3 linked regions of the Caenorhabditis elegans genome follow. The protein of the gene in region 3 purifies or fractionates together with the protein of the main gene of each other region. This does not show direct contact. Each region holds a gene or a part of one and is shown on either strand. Other genes may lie near its edges.

Evidence for each region.
Region 1: the proteins of smg-5 (region 3) and smg-2 purify together in Caenorhabditis elegans (affinity purification with western blotting, with the first as the bait; one study listed by BioGRID). This does not show direct contact.
Region 2: the proteins of smg-5 (region 3) and let-92 purify together in Caenorhabditis elegans (affinity purification with western blotting, with the first as the bait; one study listed by BioGRID). This does not show direct contact.

The regions. Positions count from the first base shown.
Region 1 is NC_003279.8:1,171,011-1,182,334, forward strand, and holds the start of smg-2 (Regulator of nonsense transcripts 1), read left to right. Parts: upstream 1-5,462; 5' UTR 5,463-5,464; coding exon 5,465-5,611; intron 5,612-6,867; coding exon 6,868-7,409; intron 7,410-7,992; coding exon 7,993-8,381; intron 8,382-9,236; coding exon 9,237-10,177; intron 10,178-11,324. Other genes in the region: haf-6 (Mitochondrial potassium channel ATP-binding subunit), read right to left, coding at 2,798-3,085, 4,374-4,617, 4,679-4,743. UniProt on the Caenorhabditis elegans protein: RNA-dependent helicase required for nonsense-mediated decay (NMD) of aberrant mRNAs containing premature stop codons and modulates the expression level of normal mRNAs.
Region 2 is NC_003282.8:11,856,919-11,867,782, forward strand, and holds let-92 (Serine/threonine-protein phosphatase 2A catalytic subunit), read left to right. Parts: upstream 1-1,523; 5' UTR 1,524-1,527; coding exon 1,528-1,656; intron 1,657-1,702; coding exon 1,703-1,912; intron 1,913-1,966; coding exon 1,967-2,029; intron 2,030-2,074; coding exon 2,075-2,263; intron 2,264-2,367; coding exon 2,368-2,541; intron 2,542-2,594; coding exon 2,595-2,786; 3' UTR 2,787-3,542; downstream 3,543-10,864. Other genes in the region: mob-1 (Mob1/phocein), read left to right, coding at 3,640-3,763, 4,099-4,225, 5,163-5,493; trpa-1 (Transient receptor potential cation channel subfamily A member 1 homolog), read left to right, coding at 7,629-7,710, 8,151-8,562, 9,123-10,101, 10,176-10,269, 10,317-10,403.
Region 3 is NC_003279.8:6,729,872-6,741,254, reverse strand, and holds smg-5 (PIN domain-containing protein), read left to right. Parts: upstream 1-5,093; 5' UTR 5,094-5,102; coding exon 5,103-5,215; intron 5,216-5,323; coding exon 5,324-5,432; intron 5,433-5,493; coding exon 5,494-6,043; intron 6,044-6,109; coding exon 6,110-6,300; intron 6,301-6,386; coding exon 6,387-7,073; 3' UTR 7,074-7,226; downstream 7,227-11,383. Other genes in the region: dhod-1 (Dihydroorotate dehydrogenase (quinone), mitochondrial), read right to left, coding at 244-403, 867-941, 2,679-3,074, 3,118-3,722; lbp-5 (Fatty acid-binding protein homolog 5), read left to right, coding at 8,986-9,195, 9,725-9,925; ant-1.2 (ADP/ATP translocase), read left to right, coding at 10,296-11,198.

The sequences.
Region 1 (11,324 bases), 5.6 Mb from region 3:
AAAAGAAATGAAAGAGTTTTTTTGCCGAACTAGGCCATTTTGGCTCCGCCATATCTAGTGTAGATTTACGGCGCGTTGCGTGTCGCGTCGCGGCTCGATTTCAGTTGCCCGTGTGGAGTACACGACACTTTCCCACGCGTTGTCCGGCAGGCGATTATCAATGGAGCGCGAAAAATTCAATGAGGAAGGCCAGAACCCCGTGAATTTTCAGGTTGAAAATATAAAATTTTGCTATATTTAGCAAAAAAAATTGTTTTTTTTTCACGGGCTCCTGACATTTCTCATTGCATTTTTCGCGCTCCATTGACAATCGCCTGGGAAAGTCGTGTACTCTACACGGACAAATACATTTAGTTTTACAACTAAAATCGAGCCGCGACGCGACACGCAACGCGCCGTAAATCTACCCCAGATATGGCCGAGCCAAAATGGCCTAGTTTGGCGAAAACTCTTCCATTTCAATTTATGAGCGAACCCAGAAATCCGTGAAAGTTAAAACTACGAGAAAAAAAGGAAGTTTTTTTCAAAATTTGATTTTTTTGGCAGTTTTCAGATAAAAAAAACAGGATTTCCTTTTTTTCAATTTTAACTTTTTTAGAACAAAAATACAGGGTCTCGACACGACAATTTTTCGGTATAAATCAATCTGCGCCTTGAGGGTACTGTATTTTCGAGCTTTTCCTTTCTGCGAATTTTTTTCCCAAAATCGTGGGAAAAAAATAATTTTTACAACTACAGTAACCTTTAAAGGCGCACATCTTTCTGTATTTATAAGGAATTGTCGGAACCCAGAAATCCGTGTAATGCCTAAAAAAAAAATAATGTCCCAAAAAATTTTTTTTTGTTTTCAAATATTTGTTTTAGTTTTTGATTAATTTTCAGTATTTTTCTGCTTTAACTTTTTGAAAAATTAATTAGGGAAAACTCTAAAATTTTCAATTTTTCGTGTTTAATTTTCTCTAATTTTCAAAAATAAAATCAAAATTTAAAAAATTTACTCTAAAAAATTCTGAAAAAAACTTTAAATTTAATTTTTCTGCATAGTTTTCTTGTTTCCACTATTTTTATTTTTCAAATATTTTTAAATAAATTGAGTTACAGAAAAAAATTTCGATTTTTTTTGAAAATTTTTAAAGAGCTTCAGAAAAAAAATTATTAACTTTTTGTACAGTTTTCTAGCTTTCATAATCATTTTTAAAGGTGGAGTACTGAAATTTGGAAAATATATTTAATAGATTCCAAATTTTCCCCTAATTCCGAATATCTATGTGAAAAAATCCAAAAAAAAATTCCCCTAATTTTATATTTAAGCTTGAAATCGCTTGTTCCGGAATCGCTTTTTTTCAAATTCGCGCCCAAAGAAATTCGCATTGGAGCGCTTTTTTTTTAAATTTTCTTCATTTAAATATTTCATTTATTTTTCGCCGAATTCAGTTTTTCAAAATCAGTTGCATTTATTTTTGTCGAAAAAAACCGATAAAAACTCGACTAAAATGAATGAAACTAGTTTTAAAAACACTGAATTCGGCGAAAAATAAATAAAATAAATATTTATAAATGAAGAAAATCAAAGCGCGCTCCAATGCGAATTTCTTTGGGCGCGAATTTGAAAAAAGTGATGCCGGAACAAGCGATTTCAAGCGTGCATATAAAATCAGGGAAATTTTTTTTTGATTTTTTCACATAGATATTCGGAATTAGGGGAAAATTTGGAGTCAGTTAAAAATATTTAATAGATTTCGGTACTCCACCTTTAAAAATGATTATGAAAGCTATAAAACTGTACAAAAAGTTAATAATTTTTTTTCTGAAGCTCTTTAAAAATTTTCAAAAAAAATTAAATTTTCAAAAGAAAATTTTCAAAAGAAATTTTTCTATTTTTCTAAAAAAAAAATTTTTGTAAAGTTTTTTCACAAATTAAATTTTTTTTTTCTGTAACTCAATTTGTTTAAAAATATTTGAAAAATAAAAATAGTGGAAACAAGAAAACTATGCAGAAAAATTAAATTTAAAGTTTTTTTCAGAATTTTTTAGAGTAAATTTTTTAAATTTTGATTTTATTTTTGAAAATTAGAGAAAATTAAACACGAAAAATAGAAAATTTTAGAGTTTTCCCTAATTAATTTTTCAAAAAGTTAACGCAGAAAAATACTGAAAATTAATCAAAAACTAAAACAAATAATTGAAAAAAAAATTTTTTTTGGGACAATTTTTTTTTCAGACATTACACGGATTTCTGGGTTCCGACAATTCCTTATAAATACAGAAAGATGTGCGCCTTTAAAGGTTACTGTAGTTGTAAAAATTATTTTTTTCCCACGATTTCGGGAAAAAAATTCGCAGAAAGGAAAAGCTCGAAAATACAGTAGTACCCTCTTTAAAGGCGCAGATTGATTTATACCGAAAAATTGTCGTGTCGAGACCCTGTATTTTTGTTCTAAAAAAGTTAAAATTGAAAAAAAGGAAATCCTGTTTTTTTATCTGAAAACTGCCAAAAAAATCAAATTCAAAAATCAAACATTTTAGAGTTTTCCCTAATTAATTTTTCAAAAAGTTAAAGCAGAAAAATACTGAAAATTAATCAAAAACTAAAACAAATATTTGAAAAAAAAAAATTTTTTGGGACAATTTTTTTTTCGGGGATCAGGGGAAATTTTGGAGTCAATCCATCTTTAAATTGCAAAAAATTAAAAATGTCGAGTTTTCAAAAAGATTTTTTTTACTGAAAAAAACCGAAAAAATCGGAATTTAAAAAACTAGGCCACCAAAATTTCACCGCGGCCACCCACGCTCTTACATGAGAATCAAAAAATGCCATATCATGGTGCAATAGCTTCTGAAACAAGTCCGACCGCATTTTCGTCGCCATTCGTTCTCCGAGAACCGTTAAAAATGTGATATAAAGAAATGTGAGAGCAGATTGTGCAACATATAGTGTCATTAAGTGCAGAGCAGATGGCTTGAGCTGTTCAAAATGAGATCGTAAATTGTTCGACTCGTCCTTGATGATTTTCACGATTCCGTTCACCAAATCGCCCAGGCATAGTGGAATTTGAATGTTGATGTAGGCTGAGAGGATGGCGCACTGCAAAAAAAACTGATAATTTTTCTCAATTTTTTAAGGAAAAATTGACTAAAATTAAAATTTTTTTGTTTTTAAAATTTTTTCTGGTGAAATTCCGAAAAAATTACAAGATTTTCGTACAATTTAATGTAGAAATTAAAATTTTTAGCCCCCCAAAATAACTGAAAAACTTCAAATTCCGAGATTTAAAACAAAAATTTTGTAATTTTTTGTAATTTATCCGGACAAAACCGACTTTTAGCCAATTTTTTCTTTAAATGTGGACTCCACTCTGTGGGAAAATTGCTTTAAAACATGCCTATGAGGCCATAATGACCGAATATCATTAATTCGTATGAAATCAATGAAATTTCATAGTTAAATTGGAAAATGGCAACATTTTTGCTTAAAATTTGTAAAAAATCATGTTTTTTGGGCATTTTTGGTGATTTTCTTTCGATTTTTATGATATTTCGGCGGTTTTCACCCAATTTCATTAGAAAAAATTGAAAAAATCTCAGTTTTTGCCTAATTCCTAATTGAATTTCCGCCAATTGGATTCGTTCGTTGGAGCGCACTTGCATTATTTTCATTAATTTTTTAAAATTATTTTTTATTATTTCACTGATTTTCTTCATTATTTGTGCATTTTTATCGGAAAAAAGAACTGAAAAAGCAAGAAAAATACAAAATGTTTGTTAAAAAGTAACTGAAAATGCGTAAAACTGTGATTTTTTGAGTTCTGAGGACGACGAGCCTGAAATTTGTATTATTCATGGAGTTTTAGGTATTTTTAGTCACTTTTTCATAAACATTTTGCATTTTTCTTGTTTATTTCGTTCATATTCCGATCAAAAACCCCTAAAAATGAAGAAAATCAATGAAATAATGATAAAAAAAATAATGCAAGCGCGCTCCACCGAACAAGTTCAATTGGCGGAAATTCAAATAGGAATTAGGGGAAAACTGAGATTTTTTCAATTTTTTCTAATGAAATTGGGTAAAAACCGCCGAAAAATCATAAAAATCGAAAGAAAATCACCAAAAATGCCCAAAAAACATGATTTTTTACAAATTTTAAGCAAAAATGTTGCCATTTTCCAATTTAACTATGAAATTTCATTGATTTCATACGAATTAATGCGGAAATTAAAGTTTTTTTGCTGGAAAATTGACAGGAAACCTGAAATAAAATTAAAAAGCAAGATTTTAGGTGAAAATTGCACAATTTTTTGTAAGTTAACTATAAAAATACGTATTTTTCTCGATTTTTCCCAGTTTTCAACCGGATTTTTATCGAAAAATTCACCACAACTGCAGCGAAAAACCAGCCGAAAAAGGGTTTAATCAAATTCCACAGCTCTCCGGCCGTCATTGACGCATTCTGATCCTCCGTCGTCCTCAAATGGTCGATGCGTTTGCTCAATTTCGGAGCACATGCCGCTTTTCGTAGGGTTACAGCTCCTAAACCGGCTCCAAACCCACAAATTCGCCATGTTTTGAGTATTGTTGTCCTTGAAATCGGTTTGTGAAGCCATGGATAGCTGGAAAAGCTGCAAAAAACGGGAAAATATATGGAAAAATGGAAAATCAGCAGATTTTTGCAGATCTTACCAGTGTTTGCTGCTTTGCACGGCGCTTTTGATGGATATTTGGGATAGTTTAGATAGAATTGACATTAAAAACCAGGAAAAATCAATACAAATCAATAAAAATCAGTTCTTATCAGCGATTTTTTCCGATTTTCCAAGAAAAATAATAATCGAGAAAACATAAACTCCGTGCGGCACACTTGCAAAAACCGTGCGCCCACCTTGCAATGAGGTGTTTTTATCATATTTTTTCATTTTTCGACCGTTTTTCGCAATTTTTTCTAACAAAACCTCATTTTTTGTATGAAAATGTTGAAAAAATATGCATTTTCATGGTTAAATTGTTAAAAATCACACAATTTTCGCTTAAAATCATCTAAAATGATGAAATATTGCTCATTTTAAAAGTTGGGGGGATTTTTCAGTTTGTTTTTCAAATTTGAGCTCAAATTTTAGGCATTTTTACCTTTTTCCGATAAAAAGTGAGCGGAAATTGAAAATTTTCAATTTTAATTGTTGAAATTTCCAAAAATGCACCCGCTTTGTGATTAAATTAACACAGTTCTCATTTTCGAAGGTTTTCCGCCAATTTTCGGCAAAAATGTTGAATTTTTACATGAAAAATCTGCAAAAATAAGTGTAAAAGTGGTAAAAAATTACGAAATATTGCTCATTGTTAGATTTTGCAATTTGAAAAATGCTTTTTTGTACTTTTTTCACCTATTTTACTCGAATACCGACAAATTTCTCATGAATGCTATCGATTTCTCATTCCAAAACCCCTCAAAAACGCACTTTTCTTCCAGTAATGGACGATTCGGACGACGAATATTCGAGAAGCCACGGGGAAACCCTCACATTTGTGGATCCCGAGGACGATGGAGTCTCTATTGGGAACACGCAGGACTCTCAGTTCGCCTATGAGCAGTTTAGTGTGCCTACGCAGAGTTCTCAGGTAGAAAATTGCCGCATTTGTGTCAAAAAATCGAAGGAAAATTCTGGATTTTGCTGAAAAATCAAGTTTTTCACATGATTTTTCAGAGAAATTTGTATTCAAAATCCTTTGAATTGATAGACTTTACACACTGAAAAAAACGATGAAAATCATGAAAAAAAAACCACTCGAAAATGGACAAAACCGATGGAATTTGTGATTTTTATTTTCAATTTTTGTTCGAAAATGAGTATAATCCCGTCAATTTGCAATTTTCAGATGCTTTTTTGCCCACTTTGCCCAATCAATTTTTCGTGCAAATTTCAAGAAAAATCGATCCAAAAGCTCGAAAAAATTAGATTTTTGTGCAAAAATTGCAAAATTTTTTGAATTTGGCCATTTTCGATTAGTTTTTCTTGTAATTTTCAAGAAAACAAACCGTCCAATTTTTTTTGGAGATGTTTTGTGATATAAATTATCTTTTCCAACAATATCAACGATTTTCTAGAAGCTCAACGTTAAAAAAGGTTAGAAAATTAGATTATACTATTACGGGAACACAAAATTCTGAGAATGCGTATTGCACAACATATTTGACGCGCAAAATATCTCGTAGCGAAAACTACAGTAATTCTTTAAATGACTACTGTAGGTCGATTTACGGGCTCGATTTTCATTTTTCCTTCGCCAAAATCGAGATTCCGTAAATCGACACTACAGTAGTCATTTAAAGAATTACTGTAGTTTTCGCTACGAGATATTTTGCGCGTCAAATATGTTGTGTAATACGCATTCTTAGAATTTTGTGTTCCCGTAATAGTATAATCTAATTTTCTAACCTTTCTTAACGTTGAGCTTGCTCTGGAAAAGATAATTTATATCACCAAAAACTTGTTTTAAAAAGAATTTTTCTCATTCCTTACTGTCAGGAATCTTGGAAATTGTGATTTTTTTTTCCAATATTTTTGTTTATCGCAATTTTCAGATGATTTTTGAGCACTTTGCCCACAATTTTTCGTGCTAATTTCAAGAAAATCGACCCAAAAGCGTACAAAAAATTCCAAGAAAATTCCAAAGCAATTTTAAAAATTCGACTCTCAAAAAAAAACACCTATTCCAGGCGACAGATCTTAATTTTAAATAAATTTTTATTCAAAATCCTCTGAAAGTGGAAATTTCAGTGGAAAAAAACCAAGAAAATCATAGAAAAGTCCCTTAAAATCAATTTTTTTTGTCAATTTTTCAAAATTCTCAACAAAAAAAAACCCATATTCCAGGCGACAGATCTGCTGCCAGGAGGAACCGATGGAACCACCAACGATTTGCCATTTCACGACGTGGAAGACGACGAGTCGGACAGTGAAAAATCACTGACAGAAGAGCAGCAGCAGCAGAAGCTGCCGGAGCACGCGTGTCGCTATTGTGGAATCTCTGATCCTCTGTGTGTCGCCAAATGCACAGTCTGCAGGAAATGGTTCTGTAATTCCAATGATGGAACGTCGGGCGGGCATATTGTTCATCATATGGTTCGGAGTCAGCATAAGGAAGCCTACACGCATAAGGATTCACCGTGTGGTGACACTCAATTGGAATGCTATCGTTGTGGTTCGAAAAACGTGTTTAATCTCGGCTTCATCCCCGGAAAAAAGGATCAAGTCGTCGTGATAATCTGTAGAACACCGTGCGCCAGTATTGCATTCCAGAATGATGATAATTGGTCGCCCGAGGACTGGAAATCTGTAATCGCTGAAAAACAGCTGCTATCGTGGATTGTTAATGTGCCCAGCGAGGAGCAGGTGGCCAGAGCTAGGAAAATCACGTTAGTGGAGGAAAATCGATTTTTGAGAAAAATTTTAAAATAATAATTAAAGGAATTTCCAACCAAAAATGCAATTTCCGAGCGATCGAATTTTAACAATTTTTAACTAAATCTCGCCGTCCATCGACTTTAAAATACCTAAATCGAGTTGAAAACGCAAGATAATTAAATTGTATACTCAAAATTTGACGGTGGTTACAAAAAAAAAATAGTTTCCAGCCGCTTTACAAGTCGGTCAAATTTCAAATTTTAACTAATTTTAGGCCATTTTTTGAACCGTCATAACTTGTTTTTTGAGAAGTTTCACTATGAAATTCGGTGTTTTCTGAGTTGAATAAAGCAATTTTAAAAAATTCGACTACACCACCTTTAATATTTCTATAGCTTCGATTTTTTTGTTGATAAAAAATCTATTCCCAGTTTCCAAAAGAAATTGAAAATTGAATTTTTTTTCGAATTTTCGTGCAAAAAATTCTCAATTTCTACCGGCATTGGTGCAAAAAGCCGGAAAAACACAAGTGGTATAGTACTTTTAAATAGCTATATATATATATATATATATATGAAAAACTAAATTTTCCAGTGCTACCCAAGCAGTCCGAATGGAAGAGCTCTGGCGTGATCACCCAGAAGCAACCGTTGACGATTTAAATAAACCGGGACTCGATCGAGAACCGGATCATGTTCAATTAAGATATGTGGATGCTCATCACTATTCGAAAGTGTTCCGTCCATTAGTTGCAATTGAAGCAGAATATGATCGAAGAGTTAAAGAATCAGCATCACAAGCAGTCGGAACTGTTAGATGGGAACAAGGACTTCGTCAATCGGTTCTCGCGTTCTTTCATCTTCCACAATTTGCTGATGGTGTCATGAAGCTTGCGAAAGGCGATGAACTTCGATTGAAACATTCTCAGACGGTTGATGGATCGGAATGGACCAAGATTGGAAGTGTTTTCAAGATTCCTGATAGTAAGGGATGGGAAAAATAAAAATAAAAATTTTGAGTAGTTTTTCTTGGAATTTTCAAGAAATAACTGTCCAAAATTTTTTTTTTGGAGATTTTTCCTGATATAAATTGTATTTTCCAGTAATTTCAACGATTTTCCAGAAGCTGAAAAGGTTAGATATTTAGTTTATACTATTACGGGAACACAAAATTCTGAAAATGCGTATTACACAACATATTTGACGCGCAAAATATCTCGTAGCGAAAACTACAGTAATTCTTTAAATGACTACTGTAGGTCGATTTACGACGCGCTTGATTTTCATTTTCACACGAACGAAAAAGTGAAAATCGAGCCCGTAAATCGACGCTACAGTAGTCATTTAAAGAATTACTGTAGTTTTCGCTACGAGATATTTTGCGCGTCAAATATGTTGTGTAATACGCATTTTCAGAATTTTGTGTTCCCGTAATAGTATAAACTAAATTTCTAACCTTTTGAGCTTCTGGAAAATCGTTGAAATTATGGGAAAGTACAATTTACATCACCAAAAATCTGCAAAAAAAAAAATTTCGGTCGGTTTTTTCTTGAAAATTACAAGAAAAACTACTCGAAAATGACCAAAATCAATTTTTTTTTGAGCTTTTTTAACTTTAAATTCTTCGGAAAAATTTTTTTTCCCGCTTTTGGATCGATTTTTCTTGAAATTAGCACGAAAAATTGGGCAAAGAGCTCAAAAATCATCTGAAAATTGCAAATTTACAACAAAAAAATCACAAATTCCATCGTTTCTGGCCATTTTCGAGTGGTTTTTCTGTGAATTTCAAGAAAAATTGCACAAAAAGCTCCAAAAAATTTCACGTTTACAAATTTGCAGACCACGGCGACGAGGTAGGCATCGAAATCCGCGGAGCTGTCGACAAATCAGTGATGGAGAGTCGGATTATGTTCACCGTCGACGTCGTCTGGAACGCCACCACCTTCGAGCGACAGTACAAGGCTCTTGCGGCGCTGCTCAACGACTCCAAAGCAATATCTCCATATCTCTACCAGAAGCTTCTGGGTCATCCAGCCGAGGAAATGATGCTCAAGTTTGATCTACCGCGTCGGCTATCTGTCGCTGGACTCCCCGAGCTTAATAGCTCCCAGATGCAGGCAGTGAAGCAGGTGCTCACCCGACCTTTAAGCTTGATTCAAGGACCTCCGGGAACTGGAAAAACCGTAGTTTCGGCGACAATCGTCTATCATTTGGTGCAGAAAACCGAGGGAAACGTGCTCGTGTGCTCGCCGAGCAACATCGCCGTCGATCACTTGGCCGAGAAGATTCACAAGACGGGATTGAAGGTTGTGAGGCTTTGTGCGAGATCTCGAGAGCACAGTGAGACTACAGTACCCTACTTGACGCTTCAACATCAGCTAAAAGTGATGGGCGGTGCGGAGCTTCAGAAGCTGATTCAGTTGAAAGATGAAGCCGGGGAGCTCGAGTTTAAGGATGATTTGAGATATATGCAATTGAAAAGAGTCAAAGAGCATGAGCTTCTCGCCGCCGCTGACGTCATCTGTTGTACGTGCTCATCGGCGGCTGATGCGAGATTGTCGAAGATCCGTACGAGAACTGTGCTCATTGATGAGAGCACACAGGCGACAGAGCCCGAGATTTTGGTCTCTATTATGAGAGGAGTCAGGCAATTGGTTTTAGTTGGAGATCACTGTCAACTGGGACCGGTTGTTATATGTAAAAAGGCGGCGATTGCCGGATTGAGCCAATCTTTGTTCGAGAGACTTGTGCTTCTCGGTATTCGACCGTTCCGGCTTCAGGTTGGGTCATTTTCGGGAAAAAACTACTGAAATTCGGCATTTTAAATTGAACTTACTGAAAATTATCACTGAACCTTTAAAAAATCGATTTTCTACAACTCGGACTCTAATTTTTGAAAAATTTTGTTTGAATTTTATGAAGGTTCAGATATTTTCAGAAAGTTTACAAGTTTTCTACGAGATTAAAAAAATCGAACCAAAATTTACTTTGTAATTAAAGGTGGAGTAGCGCCAGTGGGGAAACTGCTTTAAAACATGCCTATAAGGTCACAATGACCGAATATCATGATAAAAAAATTTAAAATGTTTTTCTAAATTTTATATGATTTTTTAAAAATTGAAAAAATCTCAGTTTTTGCCTAATTCCAATTTGAATTACCGCCAATTGGATTTGTTCGATCGAGCGCGCTTGCATTATCTTCATTAATTAATTTTTTTTGTTGTTATTTTCCACCGATTTTTAATGTTTTCAGTGTATTTTTGCTTGAATTTTAGAGAAAAAGTAAAAAAAAAAGCAAATTTTCGATTAAAAAGCATGCTTACAGGCGTAAATCAGTGAGATTAGTTAATTCAGGTTCGAAATCGTTTAAAAGCGTTACTTTTTCATTTTTTACACCTGCGATCGCGTTTTTTAATCGAAAATTTGCATTTATTTTGACTTTTTCTCTAAAATTCAAGCAAAAATACACCGAATACATTGAAAATCGGTGGAAAATAACAAAAAATAAAATAAATAAATTTAAAAACGTGCAAGCGCGCTCCATCGAACAAATCCAATTGGCGGTAATTCAAATAGGAATTAGGCAAAAACTGAGATTTTTTCAATTTTCAAAAAATCAAAAATTTAGAAAACTTTTAAAAATTTTTTTATCATGATATTCGGTCATTATGGCCCCATAGGCACGTTTTAAAGCAATTTCCCCACAGGGTGTAGTCCGCCTTTAAGTGACATTTTCAAGAAAACCGCTGCATATGCTATAAAATCCAATTTCGTGAAATTTTGAGATTTAAAAAATGCAAAAAAAATCGGTTTTTTCTCGAATTTTTGACAAAGTTTGGCTACAAAATGTAGCTGTTTTTCAGTTTTTTAAATGAAAATGTTGGTATTTTTAATTTTTTTTCTAATCAAAAAACTTTTCTAAAATAT
Region 2 (10,864 bases), on a different chromosome or scaffold from region 3:
CGGACATCATTAACCTTCGTTAGTTGCCAATCGATAGTTTCATCTTCTAAAACATACCGTTTTTTCTGAAATTTCGCATAAATGAGTCATCATGATTCTGCTGGGTTATGAAATGTATTTTTCTAGAAATATTCTACCTCGAACATTTTTTTCAGTACGCCCCTCTATCATAACTTGGCCGTCCCTAGCACGTCACCAGAGCTCTAAATCCTCGCCTTTTCACACCTCCTTTCTGCACACAACGCCTCTGCTGTCGTCGTTGTCGCCTTCAGCGATAACGCCAATAAACGAAAACATCGGTTCAGGAAGAGGACTTCTTCACTTCTCTCCGTCTTGTTAACAACAGACAGTGAGGGTGTTCAGTAGAGCGCAGTGAACCGCGACGCGAGCCCTTGCGATGCGGTCGCTCTTTCCTCTGCCTTATATCTTTTCTTTTTCATCTCTTTCTCCGTCACTTTCGCAATGCGATTGGTTCCTCGGCTGGTTATAGCACAGGAGTGCCGCTGCTCCTTCGCTATCTGTCGTCTGATCCTCCGTCACTGCCCAATTGGCGGGCCCCGCATCTCTCTGCAGCCCTGCTTTCTCCGCCTCGCTCTCCTCACAAAACAACAATTTTGTCGTACTCGATCATCCCGCGTTCTCTATCATTTTGATGTCTTCCACTAATGTTAAATTCATTTATTCCGTTCTCACGTGTTCCCATTACAATTGGCTTTTGCCCATTGAATATTGATTATGATTCACCGAAAATAAGGCAAAAAAAACACAGTTTTATGATTTTTTTTTTCATTTGAAGAGTTTCAGTTACATAATTAGGTTTTTTACCGTATCAACGTTTGCCTAACAATTAAAATATTTTAATTCTCGTTAGAACATAGATTGACCCCTATTGTGAAACATAATTAACAACATTTGTTCTTTGCCTTATCGGAACGGAATGAAATTCCGTATGGTTTGGTGGGAGGTAGAAACGCAAACAGCGAGTTATCGATTTCCTCTTTTTCCTATGAATATTTTTCAGCGCGTGATTGTTGTTCATCTTTCACTTCTTCGTCTAAAATTGAGAATGGACACTTTTTGACACTAGTAACTAATCCGGTCTGGCATTTAGTAACATTGAAAAATAATCCATAAAAACTACACATTTTATTTCTATGTTCTTGTTTTCTTTTCTTAACCTGTTCACGATTGATTTTCCGTCTTTTTTAAAACTTGTGCTTTACATCATTTCATTAACTGTCTCTCCTCCAATTGTGACGTTTTCTTTTTCGTTATAAGATGCTGTTGGAGCAAGGGGCACTTAATCCCTTTTGTCTTGCAATCCTATCAGTTTATACGGAAAGAAGAATCCGCTGAAAAGTATTGACTGTGAGGCAACAGCGTGAGTTTCTGCTCTTCACGCTTTCTCCGACTCGTGCTCCGTTGCTATAGCTGCCCACGTTGTCTTTCTTCTTTCTCTATGCGTTCTTATCATTCAAACTTTTTTATACTTCTAATTTCTTGACCAACAAATAAGTTTTCAGTAGTATGGCTGCTGCCCCACCATCTGCGGATCCGCTTGATAAAGCACTAATCGTCGATGTAGATCAGTGGATTGAGCAGTTATACGAATGTAAACCACTATCGGAGAATCAAGTCAAAACGTTATGCGAAAAGGTTTGTTGATACAGTTTTGTGATTGTCAAAAATTAATTTTTTTAAGGCGAAAGAGATCTTGGAAAAAGAGCCGAATGTGCAAGAAGTCCGGTGCCCTGTGACAGTGTGTGGTGACGTTCACGGTCAATTCCACGATCTGATGGAGCTGTTCAAAATGGGTGGAAAGAGTCCTGACACGAATTACCTTTTCATGGGAGACTACGTCGACCGGGGGTATTATTCCGTCGAAACAGTTAGTCTGCTTGTCTGTTTGAAGGTACAGTTATCACAATATAGTATGGAAATTATTATAACATCTTTAAAAATTCAGATTCGATACAAGGATCGAGTAACACTGCTCCGCGGAAATCACGAGTCGCGACAAATCACTCAGGTAATTAAAATCAATTTATTTCAAAAATTATTATTTTCTTGTTAGGTCTACGGGTTCTATGACGAGTGTTTGAGGAAATATGGAAACTCGAATGTGTGGAAGTACTTCACTGATCTCTTCGACTGTTTCCCACTTACCGCTCTTGTTGATGGTCAAATCTTCTGCCTTCACGGAGGTCTTTCACCGTCTATTGATACTCTTGATCACATCAGAGCTCTTGACCGCATTCAAGAGGTAAGTTATTGTGGAAATCTACCTTTAATAGTTACTAGCCTGAAATATTTCAATAATAGAAAAGTTCTAACATTTTCATCACCGAAAATCATATATTTTTAAAGGTTCCACACGAAGGACCAATGTGCGATCTTCTCTGGTCTGATCCAGATGACAGAGGTGGCTGGGGAATCTCTCCACGTGGAGCAGGATACACATTCGGTCAGGATATCTCGGAGACGTTCAACCATTCCAATGGACTTACTCTAATTTCTCGGGCCCATCAACTTGTCATGGAGGTGAGAAATTATTTCAAATCGATATAATTTTGCAATGATATAAATATGTTTAGGGATACAACTGGAGTCACGATCGTAACGTGGTAACAGTGTTCTCAGCACCAAACTACTGCTATCGTTGTGGAAATCAGGCAGCGATGGTGGAGCTGGACGACGATCTCAAATATTCGTTCTTGCAATTCGACCCTGCCCCTCGAAGAGGAGAACCACATGTTACTCGCAGAACGCCTGACTACTTCCTGTAGATAGATACCTCCGTTCAAATCGCCGTTTTCATTTTCTTTTTTTTCCGTATTATCCCCCTTACCCAATTAATTTCAATACTTTCTCTCACTTTTCCTCTTTTTCATCGTTTCAGTCATTATATAGAATATCGTTGTTTTTGTATCGTTGCCCAACACCATCCTATTTGACAATCCCATCTCTTCTGAAGTTGCTCGAAATGATTGTTGTGTTCTTCATCTATCTTTTTTGTTCCATTCTCTTGTCCTCTACCAAAATTTAGGCGATCAAACCGTGCTTCTCTTCTCAAATGATGCGATGATAGGGATGAAAATTTCATTGTTCATGTAAATTAATGTGGTGGGAAGAGTTTGGCGGAATCATTAGCCATTACTGAAAAAATATCTCCGACATCTCGTGTCAACCTTAGCACTCGGTTCTCTTCCTTCACTCAATGAAGCAATCAATATTCTTTTCAGTCATCCCCGTGTGAGAAAAGTTGCGATCTTCTCCGCGCACGCGCTGTACGGCGTTCGCTTCCAACATTTCTTTACTCTTTTTCTTTTCCTTCCATATTCTTACACTATTTTCCCCTCCATCCCATCCTTTTCACCACTTCCCGTCTTCCTTGTTTCTTATGATTATTATCACAAAATGCGAATGGACAACATCTCTCCCTTTTCCACTATTTTATTCCCCCATTTTGTTTAATTATAATATTATTTTTGCCCCATCAACATTTTGTTTATCATCAATGATCAATAAACTGTGTCCACATCAAAGTTTTGAATTTTCGATTGCAATGTAGAAAGCATAAAACAATACTTGTCTTGGTGAAAGAAAAAACTTTAAATCGAATTATTTTGGTTCCAGAAAATGAGTGAACCAAGTTCATCATGGTGCAATCCAATGGCAGTTTCAACGTTAGGAAGTGGAAATCTTCGTGACGCTCTGAAACTTCCACCAGGGGAAGATAAAAATGAATGGCTCGCCGTAAATAGTAAGTTTTTGCTAAAAAAAACTTTGACATTTTTTTGCACAGCTTGGTAATAATAATTTGTAATAAAACAAAAAATAATTTATAATAAAACAAAAACTGCTAATTGTGATTTTTTTCGAGTTGATCCAATTTTCTCAAAAAATACAAAAAATTGGATAAATTTCCTACAGTAATCTTAAAGGCGCGTACACGAAAACAAATAAACACTGACGCGCGGCGAGACTATTTCTCAATTTTGGTTCTCCCTTTAAAAAAGCGGAAACATACAGTTTCTATAAGTTTTCTTTTTTAATTTTATTTTTGAAAAATTCCAAAAAAAAAGCGCATTTTTTCAGTAATCGATCTGGTAAATCAAGTTCGAATGGTTTTCGGAGTTCTCTGCGAATCCGAATGTACCGATTCAAAGTGTCCATCGATGACAGCACATGGAAGACAATATACTTGGACCAGTGAAGGAACATTGTAAGCTTTTCTAAGTTTTTCCGTAATTCTTGGTTATCAAAATTCAATATTTTGAAAATTCTTAAAATTGCAGAAAACCGTTTCAGTATACATAATCTAACTGTAAAACGTATATAATTGTTTAAAATTTGCTCGGTTTTTTTTTTCAATTTTGCAGCAAAAAATATATATAGTGCACTTTTTCTCAAATTCTATGACTTTGAAGCAACATATTTGACGCGCAAAATATCTCGTAGCGAAAACTACAGTAATTCTTTGAATGACTACTGTAGCGCCTGTGATTTTCGAAATAAAGAATTTAGTTATCGATAGAATATTAAAATTATACAAAAATGAGAAAATAATACGAAGAAACGAGGACAAAAAAATTTATTTCAACAATCGAGCCCGTAAATCGACACATGCGCTACAGTAGTTATCTATAGAATTACTGTAGTTTTCGCTACGAGATATTTTGCGCGTCAAATATGTTGCGCAATACGCATTCTCAAAATTTTGTGCTCCCATAATAAAGAGCCGAATTACTTTATAATTCCCGTTCAAATTTCGTTTTTGTGCTTTCTGACTATATTAATTCGGCTTTTCTTTATTTTTGGATTGTTTTTAACATGGTTTGTCACAGTTTTCCTCACAAGCAGAAAAAAATTTAAATTGAAAAATGAAGAAAAAACCAATTAATTGTTTTCTGGGAAACACCGAAATGTTGAAACTCGAAAACTAAACACATGCCTTTCTAATTTTTTTTTTGTTACAAAATTGGAAAATCTGTAAAAATTCTGGAAAAACATTTTTTGTCATTAAGAGAAAAAAAACCACGTTCACTAGTGCACTACTCCATCTTTAAAAAAGAAGGAAAATTAATTTTGTTTTCGTAAAAACGCAAAAAAACCATTCTCACATTAATCTTCATGTTCCAAAAAAAAAAAATCTATCTCAGACTGAACACAAGTGCTCCTCAATACATTGATCTATCGCTCACTGCATGCCAAAACAATGTCGACGACGAAAACGTGTTCCCATCGGAAATCGGAAAACAATTCCCCACGGACTTTGAGGAACGTTGTCAAGCAATTATGAGGAGACTGTTCAGAATCTATGCTCACGTCTATTTTGCCCATGTCAATCACTTCAAAGCTATCAAGGCCTTGGCACACCTGAACACATCGTTCAAACAGTTCGTTCTATTCGCCAATCAATTCCAACTTCTCAACAAGGAAGAAACTGAACCATTACGGGAAATCATCGAGAATCTCATATCGTTTAGCTAAATAATCTGTTGTTAATAATATTCCCAATTCTGTGATTCCCCTTCTCCTCAGATGTGTAAAACTCTAATAAATTTGCTTTAAATTTTGAACTATACGTGTTTATGAGTTTAAAATAGGTGCTTTTAGGATTAATACACAAAAAGACTGGATTATAAATCATAAGCTTCTGACGTTCATGATATGGTATCAGTTTGGGAAAACTTCAAAAATTCTCTAGTTTCTTTTCTTTTTGTGTGACGAATTGTTGAGAGATGTTCATTAAATTAATTGTTATCCGGTCTTTCAAATTATCAAAAAAAAAAACTTTTCGGCTACATGTAGATAAGGTTTTTAGTTTGAGTACTTTCTCAAATAAGTTAGAACATTTTCCAGCAAAAGGATTTCAAAGAATATTTATTGTTTGTCCACTTGTAATAGGGTGAGCAATAAGTTTTCCGTGTTTTCTCAGTTTTCATCCTTTTCAACTATCTATGTAAAAGTCCCTTTCAGAAGAAACCAAAACTTTCCAAAAAAACATTTTTTTTCTGAAAGTGGATACAACTAAATACGAATAATTTTTCTTGGATAAAGTTGAAAACATTAGCCACAATTCTGCAGAAACCCCAAAATAATTAGCGAGATTTCAAAATTTATATTTCTATTTATTATATTTTGTATCACGAAAACACCAAATTCTGAAAATGCGTATTGTGCAACATACTTGACGCGCAAAATATCTTGTAGCGAAAACTACAGTAACTCTTCAAGTGACTACTGTTCATTAAAAGAATTACCGTAGTTTTCGCTACGAGATATTTTGCGCGTCAAACATGTTGCCTGTACGCATTCTGTACGCATTCTCATAGATGTTTGTTCCCGTAATAGAAAATATTTGAAAAATTATGAACACTGAGAAAATGCGAAAAAGAACTTATTGATCGCCATAGTAGATCCTACTCGATAGAATCGAAATAAGAAGTTTTTTTTTCAAAATCAAATAGTTTTTCGAACAAAATACCACTTAAAGATCAAATGCCACTGTTTGCTCTTTCTCTTTTTCCCGTCTGCATTCTTTTTATTTCGTCTCTTTTTGGATTCCATACCATACCAATTCCACCTTTGAACTTACATTCCTTTTTTCTTTTTGCTTACTTGTCCTATACTAGGGGTTACATATTATATTCGCACTTTTCCTTTTTCGTCTACGGTCTCATCTAAATTCATTCTATTTACCAATTTGTTGTATTGAAAGGTGAAACAGAGTGAGAGAAGAGAGGAGAGAATGAGTGACTCACATTTTTGCCTTTCGACTGTTTTGGATTTATTTGCATACTTCCACGTTTGTACAGATTTCACCTATTTTCTTTTCATTGATTTTCGTATTTGGTAGTTTTGGAAGTTTGCATTAGGGCGTGGTTGCAGTCTAGGTGAATTCTGAAATATAGATTCTACGAAACGGTCATATTACGTCTCCTTCTTATTCTCTTGTGTATGACTTCTTTCCTAGACAGGTACGACTGTAGCCGGACGAGACAGGCCTACCTGCCTACTGCCTGTTTTCAGAACTTTGCCATGAATGTCTGTGTTTCGTGTTTCCATAGTTTAGATTTGCCTATTTCTTATTAACTTGCTGAAATTTAAGAAATATGCTAAAATATGCTAAAAAGTCAGTTTTCATTTATTTTCATAATTTACAGGATGACCTAATATTCTAATAATAACTATTACAAGGTCTTCCGCACCTAATTGTTGCAAGTTATCATTCTTGAAAACTATTGATAAGAGTTGAACTCTGAAGTAAACTATCTTCGAAATTTAAATTTCGCAAACCCCAAAAAAAACATGATTAAGAAGTTCTTTGGCCTATTTTTCAAATTTCAAATCCAGTCTTATCCGTACCACCTTCTGCTTTTTCTTCCCCAATATGAATCTTTGATTGCCTTTCTTTTTCCTCCATACTCCACCAATTTTCCGGTCACTACGGAAACGACCAGACAGCAACAACCTCTCGGCTCTCTTTTCCTGTGTATATTTCCTTCTTAAATCTTATTTTTAGTGTTTTATCCAGATTTAGATTTTTTCAAAAAAGATTATCCCATTTTAAAGATCTTTAGGGGTTTCAAAATTGATTTCAATTTCAGAAAACATAAAATCAAATGTCGAAGAAATCATTAGGGCTTGATGTTCGGCTGGAATTGGAAGGATTGATTTCAAATGATGATACAATCAGATCTGAGAGTAAGTAATCTGAATACACATTTTGATGGAAAAATATGTTGTTTGTATTAATTAACGCATTCAGGTCTACGTGCCTACCTTATGCCTGAGCTGGGTTAAAAACATTCAACTCAACTCAAGTAAAAATCATCTCGAAAACTAGACGAAAATTTTTAAAATTTGGCTTTTGTTCTTGTTTCAGAAAAAATAGATTTCGAGACTTTGGAATTTCTCCGTCATGTACTAAAAGTAATTTGGCACATAGTTAGGTAAACAATTTTATACGGAGTTTTTCTTTCAGATACTAAAGTTCCACAAATGAAGTTTAAGAACTTTCGTGTTATTTTTGGTTTAAAACACTCTGATAACAGTTATCAGTTCGCCAATTTAGAGTCCTAATCAACACATTTTCAATTCAAAAACTAGAGTTTTCATGTATGAAAAAAAAACAAATCATTCAGAAGATGGTCGTCAAGCTTCAATCTTTCGAGTCGCTGAACTAGATGCTCGCACTGAAGCAGACAATCTTCGTTCAATAATCCATCAAAGTGCTCGAGAAGGAAATGTAAACGCTCTTCAAGAAGCTCTGCTGAAAGCTCCATTGGCAGTGAACGCCCAAGATGGTGATTTTATGACACCGCTTCACTATGCAGCGAGATACGGAAACTATGATGCAGTTAAACTATTACTTTCTAAAAATGCTCTACCTAATACAAAAAATCGAGAAGGCGACACTCCGTTGCATATTGCTTCCAAGTATATCTATGGATACAGTGATATTTGCTCAATTATAGATGAGGATCAAGCTGATTCCGCGAGAAAGTACAATACTGCAACCAAGAAGATCATAAATGCCTTAGTTTCTGAAAATGCGTGAGTTTCAACTTTATACTTGTGACTTTGATGATTATCTGATTTCATTTGAAAAATGAGATGGAACTCCTGGGGAAACCCAATTTGTGGCGGAGTTTACATTTAAAATTTTTAAATACAAATATCAATGCTCTGCTTAAGTTTTTTTGTGGACATTTTCCTTTCCAAAAATTGAGCTCAAAATTTGGCAAAAGTACTCATCTTATTATATTATTTTGGAGCATTTCTAACCTCATCCAATATTTTGTGAGCAGTTATAATAAATCTTTAACATTTTAAAATTAGGACCAAACACTTCTCATTTTCGAGTTTTATGTTCGGAATTTTTTCCTTAAAAAATCTAATATCAATTCAAAATTAGGATACTAGTGACATTTTCTCATAGACAAAAATCATAAATAAGTCCGCTTATTTAATGTCCTTATTCAAAACCTTTTTTTATGAAAATCAATCTCTAGATTGCTAGAAAAACCCAATAAGATTCCTGAATGTGAATCGGAGTTTATGTTTGAAATTTTAAATTAAAAAATATTATTGAAAAAAAACGGCTAAAATTTAAGTGAAATCGATCCTGTGAATAAGTACCAATTGACTCCTCTTCACTATGCAGCCATGAAATCCAACTTTTCTGCTCTACACGCTCTCATAAAACTGAAAGCAGATGTGGATGCGGAAGATGATAACAAAATGACACCTCTTCTATTAGCCTGTGTTCATGGAAGCCAAGAAATAATTCAAGAGCTTATTAAAGCAAATAGTAATGTTACGAAAAGAGATCAACGACTCAACACAGTATTTCATATTGTTGCATTGCGGGGTGAGCCGGAATACTTAGAGATGATGATGGATCATGATCCAGTTGAAGCAATCAAGGCATTAAATTTATTTAATAATGAAAAGAAGACACCTTTGAGAATGGCTGTAGAAGGAAATCATCCGGAAACTTTGAAAAAGATTCTGCAGATGGAAAAGAAAAATTCATGTAAATGGATGGATAGGGAGAAGGAATTGATCCATTTTGCCGCTGAAAAGGGATTTTTAGAAGTTTTAAAAGCATTAGTGGAAGCTGGAGGAAACAAGAATGAACTGAATGAAGTTAAAGCAGTGCCACTTCACGTTGCTGCTCAAATGAATCAATTGGAAGTTGTAAGCTATTTAATAGAAGAGGAAAAGGATAATATTGATGTAGTCGATGAACAAGGCTTGACTCCCTTGATGATGGCAGTCACTCATGATAGTAAAAAGTGTGTTGAGTACCTGATTGCAAAAAAAGCAAACTTGACAATCACGGATAAAGATGAACGTACCCCAGTATTCATTGGAGCCAAGTTCAATGCTCTTTCTTCTGTTGAATACATTTTGGACCACCTTAGAAAAAAAAATAAAGAGACTGAAAGAAGTGCTTTAAAGTCACCTACTCGAAATACACTTCGGATTGTGTCTGAAGACGTGAGGAGGACTATGGTCAATATGGTAGATCGAGATCAAAACACTCCAATGCATATTGTTGCTTCAAATGGATATTTGGAAATGATGCAGGTGAGTTGATCGAAAATTATCTCAATTTCAGAAATTTTCCCAACTAGTTTAACTTAACTGTAATTCAATTCCAGTTGCTCCAAAAACACGGAGCATCAATTACTCAAGTGAACGAAGATGAGGAGACTGCATTGCACAGAGCTGCAATTGGGGGTCAAACTGGAGCAGGTCGGAAATATTTTCTTTTCATAGAAATGAATGTTGGAAATTTACAGTAAGACAACTACTTGAATGGGATATTCGACTTTTGTTGATGAAAGATGAAATGGGAAATAGTGCATTGCATTTGGCAGCCAGAAGTGGTACGTTATTATTCCAAGTTGTTTGATGAGAAACCAGGTTGGAAGAATTGCAGTAATGCTTTGAAAAATACTGGAGCTAATGAAAAATATATTTAAATCTTCATAATCAGTACCTCCTGAAAATATTCAATGTAAAAACTATGAATTATACTTAATTTAACTGATTGCAAAATTATGAAAAACTTAGAAAGGATTTGGTATTCTGAGTTTAAAACACGGATAAGTTTTGAAACTGTATTTCTTTTTTTTTCTCTAATTTAACTAAATGACCCACGGTATCTTCTTTCTTTTTTTGTGCTATTAACACTGCTGGAAAAACAAACCAGTGAATTTCAATATTTTTTTAATTGTTAAATTTCCCATAAACAGTCACCACAGTTGACTGCCGTTCTCTGAATTTTTGCGCCAATTGGATCAGTCCAATTGTAGATGGCGTTTCGAAGAGAAAGGACATTTGCATG
Region 3 (11,383 bases):
AAGTCGTTGAAAATTATTCAAAAGTGATATATTTCGGTTGAAAACCAGAAACTTTAGTATAAATTGAAAAAAAAAACATAAGGAAATCAAATAATTTATGCAGAAAATACTAAGAATTACCCTACAATCTCATGAAAAGGCACATTGAACATCGGAAGAAAATAATTCAATTATAAAACAATTTTGAAACACCCATGAAAATGAAGTCAACCTGAAAAAATAACAAAAATCTTGGGAATATAATTATTTCGTTTTTTCTCTGTGATCAGCTCCAATTGCTTCCGAAACATGCGAAAATCCATCTTTCCGTAAAAGTTCGACAAGTTCTCGTTTGATTTTTCCGATTACCGGAAATCCTTCATAGACGAACGCGGAATAGAGTTGGACCAGACTAGCACCGGCTCTGAAATTTTACATTTAGTTAAATAAATTGAAATTAATACTTTGATTGAATAACGGTGGACTATACGGCCTGTGGGAAAATCAATAAAACCATTCTTACCATATATTGTACTCAAATGGTCAAATATTATAATTCAATTTTTATTTTGAGTCAAAAGGCGTTGAAAACTGTGTTTTTACTTTTCGAAAAATCTATATCACTGTATCATGTTTAAACCTTTAAAATGTTGAAATATGCATATTTTACATAATTAGAACATAAAACTGGAGAATAACATTTTTTTGATCGTCGATTTCCAAAGAAAAATAGGGGAAAACCGATTTTTCACTGCTTTTTGAAACGAAACAAAAAATGTTTCAAATTTTTTTTGAAAAGTTTTATAATAATATTTGGTCATTTTAGCAAGATAGGAATGGTTTTTGATAATTTCCCCACTCGACCTCGAACTGGGAAGTTCACTTACCTAATCTTTTCATATGCATCTGCTCCACTGAACACTCCTCCACAGCCGATAATTGGAATTTGTCCGTTTGTGAGTCTGAAATTAAACTATCAATGCGAACAAAATTAAACCAATTTTTTTTGTTGAAAAATTATCGATTTGAAAAATGATGAAAACTTAACTTACCATATTTGCGCAGTAAAACGAATCAAACTAAATACGCCGCCTGGTTTTCCCAGTGTAACCGGGGTGACAAGTGGCCAAAGAAAACGAAATAACAAGGGGACATGCGGTAAAAATGATGACAATTGTCTATAGTCTAGCCAAGAAGGTTCAACGTTGTGATTTTTTGGTGTTTGGGTTCTTTGATTTATGTTAAAATTTCATAAAGGTTCTAGATTTTCGATTATACACACGCAAAATGGCCGAATTACATAAAGAGACTGCTCAAAAAACAAATTAAAAATTGAACAATTTAATTTTAGCTACAATCTCAAATTTGCTAACTTCACCAAGTCACAGCTTCGGGAGATTATTTGTTCTCAAATTACTAGCTGATTTTGCTCGTTCTAGCTAATTATTAAGTTGTTTTTTGTTGATTTAAATTACTTATACATTTTTTTTCAAACGGGAACCAAACTCGGTTAATTATGTACTGGAAATATAACTAAAGCCACACGGAAAAAATGGAAAATTATCTAATTTCAGTTTTCTCTTCGAAATTTTTGAACGAAACAATGTTCTGATATTTATATCGTATTTGAGTACACGGCGTGTAAATTGGTACCTCTGGCCTAGAAAAAAGCTTGAAAAACAAATGTACGCAATTATGAAAATGCGGTTGGTGTTTGCGGACTTGACTACCATAGTCCACATAAATTTTAGCAATTAATACTTCCCGGTTTCGTTTTATATGAAAATATCCTTGAACTCAAGCAAAAAATGCATTATCTTTTTGGAAAAGAATAAAAGAAACACTAAAATTACATTAAATTCAAATACAAAAAAATATGAACTACGCAGAAAACGAAACAAGGCAGTTTGAAGCTGCATTAAAGAACAGCGCTTTTCAGTGTAAACTTGTGACGGTGGGTATACATTTTATGTACTTAAATTGTTCAAAAACCTTCATTTAGTCAATTGGTGAAGTTTCAAAACCTTTGTGAATCTAGTTTTTGAAAAAATTTCAAATTGGTGCCAATTTCACTGATTTTTTGTGAATTTCCAAGCTAAAATTGAAAAATTCAATGTGAACTTGTGACGGTGGGTATGGTTTTTATGCACATAATTTGTTTGAAATACTCTACCGAGTTAACTGGTGAAGTTTCAAAAACTTTATGGGCCTAGTTTTTGAAAAAAGTTCAAAAATGGGCCATTTTTGTCGATTTTAGTGGTTTTCGGAGCTAAAATAGAAAAATTCAATAGGAACTTGTGACGGTGGGTATGAATTTTTTGCACACAATTTGATTAAAGTAGTCTACTGAGTAATCTGGTGAAATTTCAGAAAATTTGTGGATCTAGTTTTTGAAAAAAGTTCAAAAATGTGCCACTTTTGACGTATTTTCCTAATAATTGCCTAATAAATCGAATTTCCACTTTTATTTAGGAAAATAATCGTTGTTATATGTGATTTATTCATTTTAAAAACAATTTTGTATATATTTTTGTAGTTTTATCCATTATAATGTCTCATTCATCGAATTTCAATGATATTAAAAATTTAAATTCAAATTTCGCGCGCTTTGCAGCGGCCATGGCCTAGGATTCTCACTTTTCAATTTTCGCTAGGCCACATGTCCCAATTTACACGCCGTGAGTAGTTATAAAACTCACTTGTATATTTTTCTGACACATTCCGTACTAATTTCTCTAACCGGCGCTCCGCTCAATCCTCCTGTTTCCGTTTTATTCTCTGATCTGAGATAGTCGGGTCGTGCAATTGTGGTATTCGATACAATAATTCCATCGATCGCAAACTTTTTATTCGTCACAACTTGTGCAATGTCTTTTAATTCTGATTCAATTAGATCCGGAGCAATTTTCAGAAAAACTTGAGGCTGCTTTTCCAGCTTGTGCATTTCAAGCGCTTGGTGTACATAGGCCAACAGCTTCTCCAAATCACTTTTCTTTTGCATACTTCTGAGCCCAGGAGTGTTAGGTGATGATACATTGAGAACCAGATAATCACAATGTGGAGCAAAGTAGTTGACACCAATTTCATAATCCAATCTACAAGAACTGAAATTTAAACGTTTTTGCCTTTTTAACTGACTTTGCGTCTTCCGTAAGTTTATTCTTTCCCAAATTGACTCCAAAATATGCATAACTCTCTGGAACCCATGAATCTCTGGCACTTCGTACTCTTTGATGAACTCTTCCAACTCCATCACTATTAAATCCATATCGATTGATAACTCCTTCATCTTCCAATAACCTAAACACGCGTGGTCTATTATTTCCTGGTTGTGGTATTGGTGTTACAGATCCAATTTCAATGAGTCCAAATCCAGAATTCTTGGCCAATTGTGTAATTGCTTGTCCATCTTTATCAAATCCAGCAGCTAACCCGATAGGATTCTTGAATTCTCGTCCAAAAAGCTCACATTTCAGTTCAGGATATTCTTTTCGATTCCATCCGAAACGTGGCAAAAGTCCCCACGAAGCAGCTCGAACCGCCCATCGATGTGAATCTTCTCCATCGACAAATTTGTGTACCATTGGCATTACTGCCTTTTTGTAGAACGTTTCCGAACCATATAGAAGTTCAAGTGCTGTGTAACTGGCAATTCCTGTCGCGAGTACAATTACTGTCGACTTGCTTATTGCACCAGGTGGAAGTTTGGAGTAGATGTATTTTTGTTCGGCATTTTGACTCATTCTTCAGTAGAAATTCAGGATGATTTATTCAAATCAGCAACAAATTTCTCCAGCTGAAAAAAAAAAATTAAAATGATCAATGTGGCTGAGTTTTCTTTTGGAAGTTTTCACTTTTATAAGTAGAAATACAGGTAAAGTATCTTAAAGTTAAAAAAAAAACTTGCCTGCTCTGAAGTGAAATCCAAAACTTGTGTCTCGCCGTCTTCGTAATGGAGTACAAGTTGAAAGAATGGTTGAAAGAGACTGGGAGAAGAGTCGCAGCTAGCAGACGCCTAAATTATTTGGAAATTTGAATTGATAAGCTCGATAACTAATGGTTGAAGGTTATCTTAGATAACAGGGGAATCTAGTACAAAGTATAATAAACTATTTAAATCAAAATGAAATGTTAAAGAGTAGTGTCGTTTTATTTTAAATTACTTTGAAAAAGTTAAGTTGGGAAATGAAAGATTGGCAGAATCTACATTTTTATGAAAGTTTAGGGCAAAAAAATGGCATGAGAACATCTGAAATGTTTGCAGCATGGTGTCTTGGCGGTGGTTGATGATGATAAAAGTGACAAAAAAGATAAGATGCGATGATGAAGTGTCGAGAGAAGAAATGAATGAAAATCGACGCGATAGATCAGAAATCACATTTTGCTTAAACTGCCGAATTTGTTTTTGAACAAATACAACGTTTTTGAAATGAATATTTTCTTTTTTATTCAGTTTATGTCACCTCAATTTTCATTTTGTGCAACTTTTACACGAAAACTTTTTTTTAAAACTTACTCGAATACTGTAGTCGTATGATTTAAGTTTCTTCTTGATAGTTTGATGGTTTTCCGCTCCTAATGACATACAATCTGAAACTTTAAGAATTTAAAATAAGAAATACTATTTAGTTTGAAGATAAAGAAACAAGTGATTTTTAGACATGAGAACAATTTTAATTTCAAGAGGTTTTTCTTTTTTATTGGAAAAATTAATAATTATACAGTTTTTGCGTATATACTTACAACAAATATTATACAGCTATGGAAACAGATTTTTAGCAAATGAAAACACTTGAAAACACAAGATTTATGTCCAATTTTGAACTAAAACGCTGAAATTTAATTCTAAAATCTTTCGAAACACATTTTTTAATTGAATTTTAAGAGAAAATATTTAGAAAATTGGAGAAAAAACATTATATTTCAATAAAAACTGAAGAAAATAAAGAGAAAAATGAACTGAATTGTGGGCGTGGCCAATTTGCAACATAGTGCGCAGTTTCTTCTTGATTTTTTTTTCGCAGTCGTTATTTTGTTTTCCTCTTCCTTTTATATTCAATAACTATTATTATAATTATCCGGTTATCCATCTGTCTTTAATTTATTTTTTTCAGAATATAAATATGCAAAAGTCAGATGAAGTCACTGAAAAGTTCAAACGATATTGTAATCAACTGGAAAAATACGGCCAAACTGAAAATGTGCATTCTCCAGTGATGGCGATGTTGCGCAGAAAGTATGTTTTATTCTGTAACAAAAACTTAAAATACAACAGCTTGAGTCAGAAACTATGAAATTAATAAACGATCTTTAAGTTTAAAATTTAAAGAATTACAATTTTCAGAGGCCGAAAACAGCTCATTGAGATTATGAAACGCGACGGGGACTGTACAAGTTCAATCAATAAATTGTGGATTGTTGGATATTATCACCCTTTCCAGTTTTTTATTCGAGTAAGATTAACTTTTAGTCATTGTATTATTTTTATTTGATTTCCAAAGGTTCTTATTACAGGATAAGGAGAAAAACATGGCAATAGCCGTGTTGCTGACAATGTTCTGTGGAGAGCTTCAAGAAATGCTTTCGCTTCCCGATGACAAATACCCAGCATTGTGGAACATGTACATTGGAGATTTTCATCGTTATATGCCAGACGAAGAAATTCAGAAATGCTTGGCAGTTGGATATTATTCAAGAGCAATCGATCTAGATCCGAATCAAGGAAGAGCTTTCCACGTTCTCGCTGGTCTCCGAGCTGACCTGAATGTTGCACAGAAGCTGAGACTGATGATTTTAGGACAGCTCGCCGATGCTCCATATAAAAAAGGCACTGAACTCTTGGAATATTTGAAATTTCCACAAAAAGAATCCACTGATAAATTGATGGTAGATTTTGTCATTTGGGCATTGAACGAGAAATCAAAACGAATGGATTATCAGATGACTGGAATCAAAATAGTAAACGAGTTTAAAGCAGAAATCGAACAGAAACTCGAATTCGATTGGTCTCTGATCATGTCAACGTGTCGTTTAGCATCTAAATTGGCAATGAAGAAATTTGGATGTAAGTACCGATTCCAATATCTATAGAAAATTCTTATTCTGCTGTAGGATAACATAATTTTTTCAGTTCAACAATTCTACAATTGCTTCGACACAATTTCAACGCTGTATATTACAATTTATTCACGTACGATTTCATCCAAATGCCTTCTAGCTGAAGCTATCTCATGGATTTCCGATTCAGCCGAAATACTCGGACACTTGGATGAGCAGAAAAATGAGCCACATTTCCAGAAGCTATCGGTTTTCGCCAAAACGGTAAGATTTAGAGATAAGAAAATGTAGAATAGATGTTTCAATTTTAAAATCAAGGGGAATTAATTATAAATATAACTTATTTTCAGAAATGGAACGAGCTCAACGACTTGGTTATGAATCATATCAATTCCGTATTCACATCCATGTCACTCACAATCAATCCATCTATTTCTATGACCAGCTTTCTGCTGAATGGTCCAATATCCGAACCCAATGTTGAATTTTTGAGTCAATTAATCAATTATCTGGTTTCCGTCGAATTCCCACCAATGGAGATAATCCACGATAGAGAAGAATCGGGTCCATTGCTACGACGAATTAATCAATCGGAACAAAAACGTTTGGATATTCAAATAAAGACACAAAATGATGAAGTTAACCGGGAGGATTGGAGACCTGTTTATGTATTGATGGATTATGACGTCATAGTTGACAAAATAAGAATTGCTCTAAAAATTTGGGATATCGATGATTTCATCTGCATTTTGCCATCAACAGTGCTTGATGAACTTGATTATCAGAAAACGAAGAATCGAGCAGTTCGTCCAGTAATTCGGGCATTAATGGAGCTTCAAGCAGAGGGAAAAATTGTGCTAAAGAAATGTGATAACGAGAGAAGCTGCGCGGAGCAATTGGTTCAAAGTGCACGAAGATCTGCAGAAGATCACAAGCATATTGTCGCTTTTCTGTGCAAAAACCCGAGTGAACAGAAAGAAATGGAAGGAGTTACTTTTTACGATATCGATCAGTTCTACATGAAGTATTTGGAGTGATGAAAAGAAAGGGCTCTACACTGAAAAATCTCACGATGGCTGGAATTGGAACCGCTTAAAATCATTGAGATCATATTCTTCGGATTTATTTTTGATTTATTTTACTGGATTCAATTATTTGACAATTTTTTGGTAATAAAATTTTCTAATTAACTCTTTTCAAATCATTTCACAATAGTATTAAATTAATAGTAGTACTATGTTCCATTTCGTTCAAATTGAAAATTCCAAGAGCACTCCCACGTATCTAAACAATTATGAATTCTTTTGCCACCCCCGTAAACCATTTAGAAAATTGCATTTTCATTTCACAATCATACCTTTTCGATTCCTATCAGCCTACTATAAATTGATTTTCATGAAGTAAGTAACATTTTCAATTTTTATGCTCCGCAAATCGAAGCTACACATTCCCTGACTGTGAGTATTCTAGAGTACTGTAAGTCTACTATTTTGCTAAACGTGCGAAAACTTCCAGATACCGAATTAGTTCCAGAACATTCACCCTCACTAAAAACTCTAAAATCACCTTAATTTGAATGTTCCTCTGTGTCCCGTCAGACAGTGTCTAGGGCCGATTCTCAGTCAGATAAATAGCGCTCTTCTTTTAGAAACAGGGTGAGAGGAGATTGTATCACTCTCATATCGAGGTCATTCAAATGAAAAGAGGTATACTTTTGTTGATTGAAATACATTTGTGTAAAGTTGAGATGTTTCGATTTGAAAACTTGAGAAAAAAATCTGGTTTTGTTTACTAATTGCGGCTTTTACAGTTTACCATTTACTGCTGTATTGTCTCGTCATGCCACTTAGACACCCAATTTTCAATTGAAGTAGAAATTATATTTCCTTCTTTTTCCAAATCTCACTAAGATTATATCAACTACGAAATCGATACAAAATATCTACATACAAACTGTTTTTCTGGTGAATTCTACCTTACTCCACTCATCTTTCCAAATTTTCAGTGAATGTTATCATATTTCTAAAACTAGGTATGGGAAAACTGAAAATGTGCCCTGAAAAGCAGTGGTCCCCCAATATTTTTTTAAATTAATGTTGGTTTTCGCAACGTCATAGTTGTCAAATAAGTCGGTTTCAAAACTTGAACAAACATTTTCGATTGACTCACACATAAACGGACACAGTAAAGTCAGAGAAAAGTCACAATTTTGATTTTTTTTTGTTTTTTGTATAACAAATACTGTATAAACACTCAAATATTTAAAAGCTTCTTGCGAAAAATTCCCGCATTTATAGTAGATCAATCCGTTATGGTACATCTTGACATATAGTTCTGGAAAATATTTTTTTAATCGAAAACCTACATTGGCCATCGTTTAACCTTGTTGCCCGCCATCTCTTCCACGTTAAAAGTAGCGTTTTGGTGTTATGCTCAATTAAAAAAATGTCAAAAATTGTAAAAAAAAAAACGAGATCGCATTGTATCTACTTTTGAACGACACTATATGTCAAAAGTTTAAAAAGTACTATTAATCGTGATTCACCATGTACATACTACACTCCATCTTAGTGTATTCCATGTTATCAGTTCAAAACCGTCCAAAAATTGACCAACTTGTCCATCACCCAATACAACGTGGCAGCAGTTTCAGTACACTCCCCCTTGTGTCCTATTTACTATATATACGTTTTTCTGGTTTTCACTCATCTAAACCACTTTCTCCTGCTTTTTGTATTAATATTCCTTATTGCAATGCATTACATTTTTTATTTTTGTCATTAGAAACTATAAATTTAATAATACGAATCCAAAAGAATCATAGGCAATTTTCTAAAAGCAGAAATAAATCATCCAGAATTTCTTAATACTTATTCGTTTTTCATTTAATTCCCTTTATTATTATTCTGGTACTTCTTTATCAAAATTGTAAATTTCCAAATTTTCAGAATGTCTGCTGAACAATTTGTGGGTCGTTGGAAGCTTGTCGAATCCGAGAATTTCGAGGATTACCTGAAAGAAGTTGGGGTTGGTCTTCTTCTTCGTAAAGCCGCGTGTGCTGCAAAACCAACTTTAGAGATCAAAGTGAATGGAAACAAGTGGCATGTCAATCAACTTAGCACCTTCAAGAACACCACATTGGAGTTCACTCTGGGAGTGGTAAGTGAAATTTTGAAAAAAGGAAACGAGAATAGAACTCAACAACTATATGGCTTTTTCGTTAGTTATTTTCTTTCCCATTTAAAAACTTTCAAATGCCTTTCTCGAAACTCTAGCAAACACTGATAAGACTCAAACTAGTGGGTCAAAGTGCAGGAAGGTACACGTGGTTTTCAGTGTAAACAAAAAAATGAGAATAAAGAACAACTGAACTTTGTATCCATTTGAACACTACACACAACAAACGGGTGTTCTATTAACATAGATACACTTTGTGGCATGAAGAAATAATCTAATGTTTATGTCTTTCAGAATAGGTCTATGGAAAATTCAATTGCGAACTCTAAACGAACATTTGAAATCAAAAAAAGAATCATATTAAATCTAACAAAATATTTTTTTTTCGAATTAGTTACGATCTTTAAATGTGTCGGCTACATGAAAAACAACTCCCGGTTTTCATTCCATTAAAGTTCAGTTTTTAAATTGACTGTTATAATTTACCATTTAAAAAAATAGTGTTTTTTAGGAATTCGACGAGACAACACCAGACGGTCGTCAATTCAAGTCAACCATCACAATTGAAGATGGAAAAGTAGTTCATGTTCAAAAAAGGATTAAGGATTCAGATCATGATTCTGTAATCACTCGTTGGTTTGAAGGAGAAAAGCTCATCACAACTCTCCAATCTGGATCAGTTATCTCTCGTCGTGCCTATATTCGTGAATAGATTATTTTGAATATTGTTCTTGTTTTGTTCGGTCTTTGATGCAATAAATAGCGAAAAATAGTGTTTTTGTTTACGCAGAGTGACGTTTTAAAGGACCAGAAACCCTTTTCTTTTCTCTGTCTCTGTTAAAAAAGGCCTTGTTTATTTTCCGTAAAATTTTTCATTAGTTTCAACAATTTTTAAAGAAACACTTTTGTTTTAGATTTTTCTTTTTTTTTAAATTAATTTTATTCTTTATATTGATTAGACTTTCATGACCAAAATTTTGAGAAGAGTCTAGTGAGCTCCTTCCTACTCGCATTTGAAGAAAGTTTTATTATCAGCATTCAGGAAATATAATCTCTGAAAAAAAACATTCCAGAAGGACAAAATGACCACAAAGGAAGGATTTGATTATCGAAAGTTTCTTGTTGATCTCGCCTCCGGAGGCACTGCTGCAGCAATCTCAAAAACTGCCGTTGCTCCAATTGAACGTGTAAAGCTTCTACTTCAAGTCAGTGATGTCTCTGAAACAGTAACTGCCGATAAAAAATATAAAGGAATTATGGATGTTCTTGCTAGAGTGCCAAAAGAACAAGGATATGCAGCATTTTGGAGAGGAAACCTTGCAAATGTGCTTCGATATTTTCCAACGCAAGCGCTGAATTTTGCATTCAAAGACACTTATAAGAAGATGTTTCAAGAAGGAATTGACAAGAATAAAGAATTCTGGAAATTCTTTGCTGGAAATCTCGCTTCTGGTGGAGCAGCTGGTGCAACATCTCTATGCTTCGTGTACCCACTGGATTTTGTGCGTACTCGTCTTGGAGCCGATGTTGGAAAAGGAGTGGATAGAGAGTTTCAAGGTCTAACGGATTGTTTTGTGAAAATTGTGAAATCAGATGGACCAATTGGTCTTTATAGAGGATTTTTTGTTTCAGTACAAGGAATTATAATTTATCGTGCAGCATATTTCGGAATGTTTGATACTGCCAAAACATTGTACTCAACTGACGGGCAAAAACTCAATTTCTTTACGACATGGGCAATTGCTCAAGTTGGAACAGTTGGTTCTGGATATTTATCATATCCATGGGATACAGTACGTCGTCGAATGATGATGCAATCAGGGAGAAAGGATATTCTCTATAAAAACACTTTGGATTGTGTTAGAAAGATTGTGAAGAATGAAGGAATTACTGCATTATACAAAGGAGGTCTTTCAAATGTATTCCGAGCAACTGGAGGTGCTCTTGTGCTCACAATTTATGATGAGATTCAACATTTAATTTAATTACAGAATTAAAGTATGTATATGTTAATTTTGAAACAACATTGCCAATAAATTTTTTTGTTTAAAATGCATTTTTACTTTATTTTAAAAAAAAGAAGATTGTTTAAGTTTCACAATTTGAAAATGGGCTTCTATATATGTACAAGATACTAGTTTTTTACCTCAAAAAAAAATAAATTTAAAAA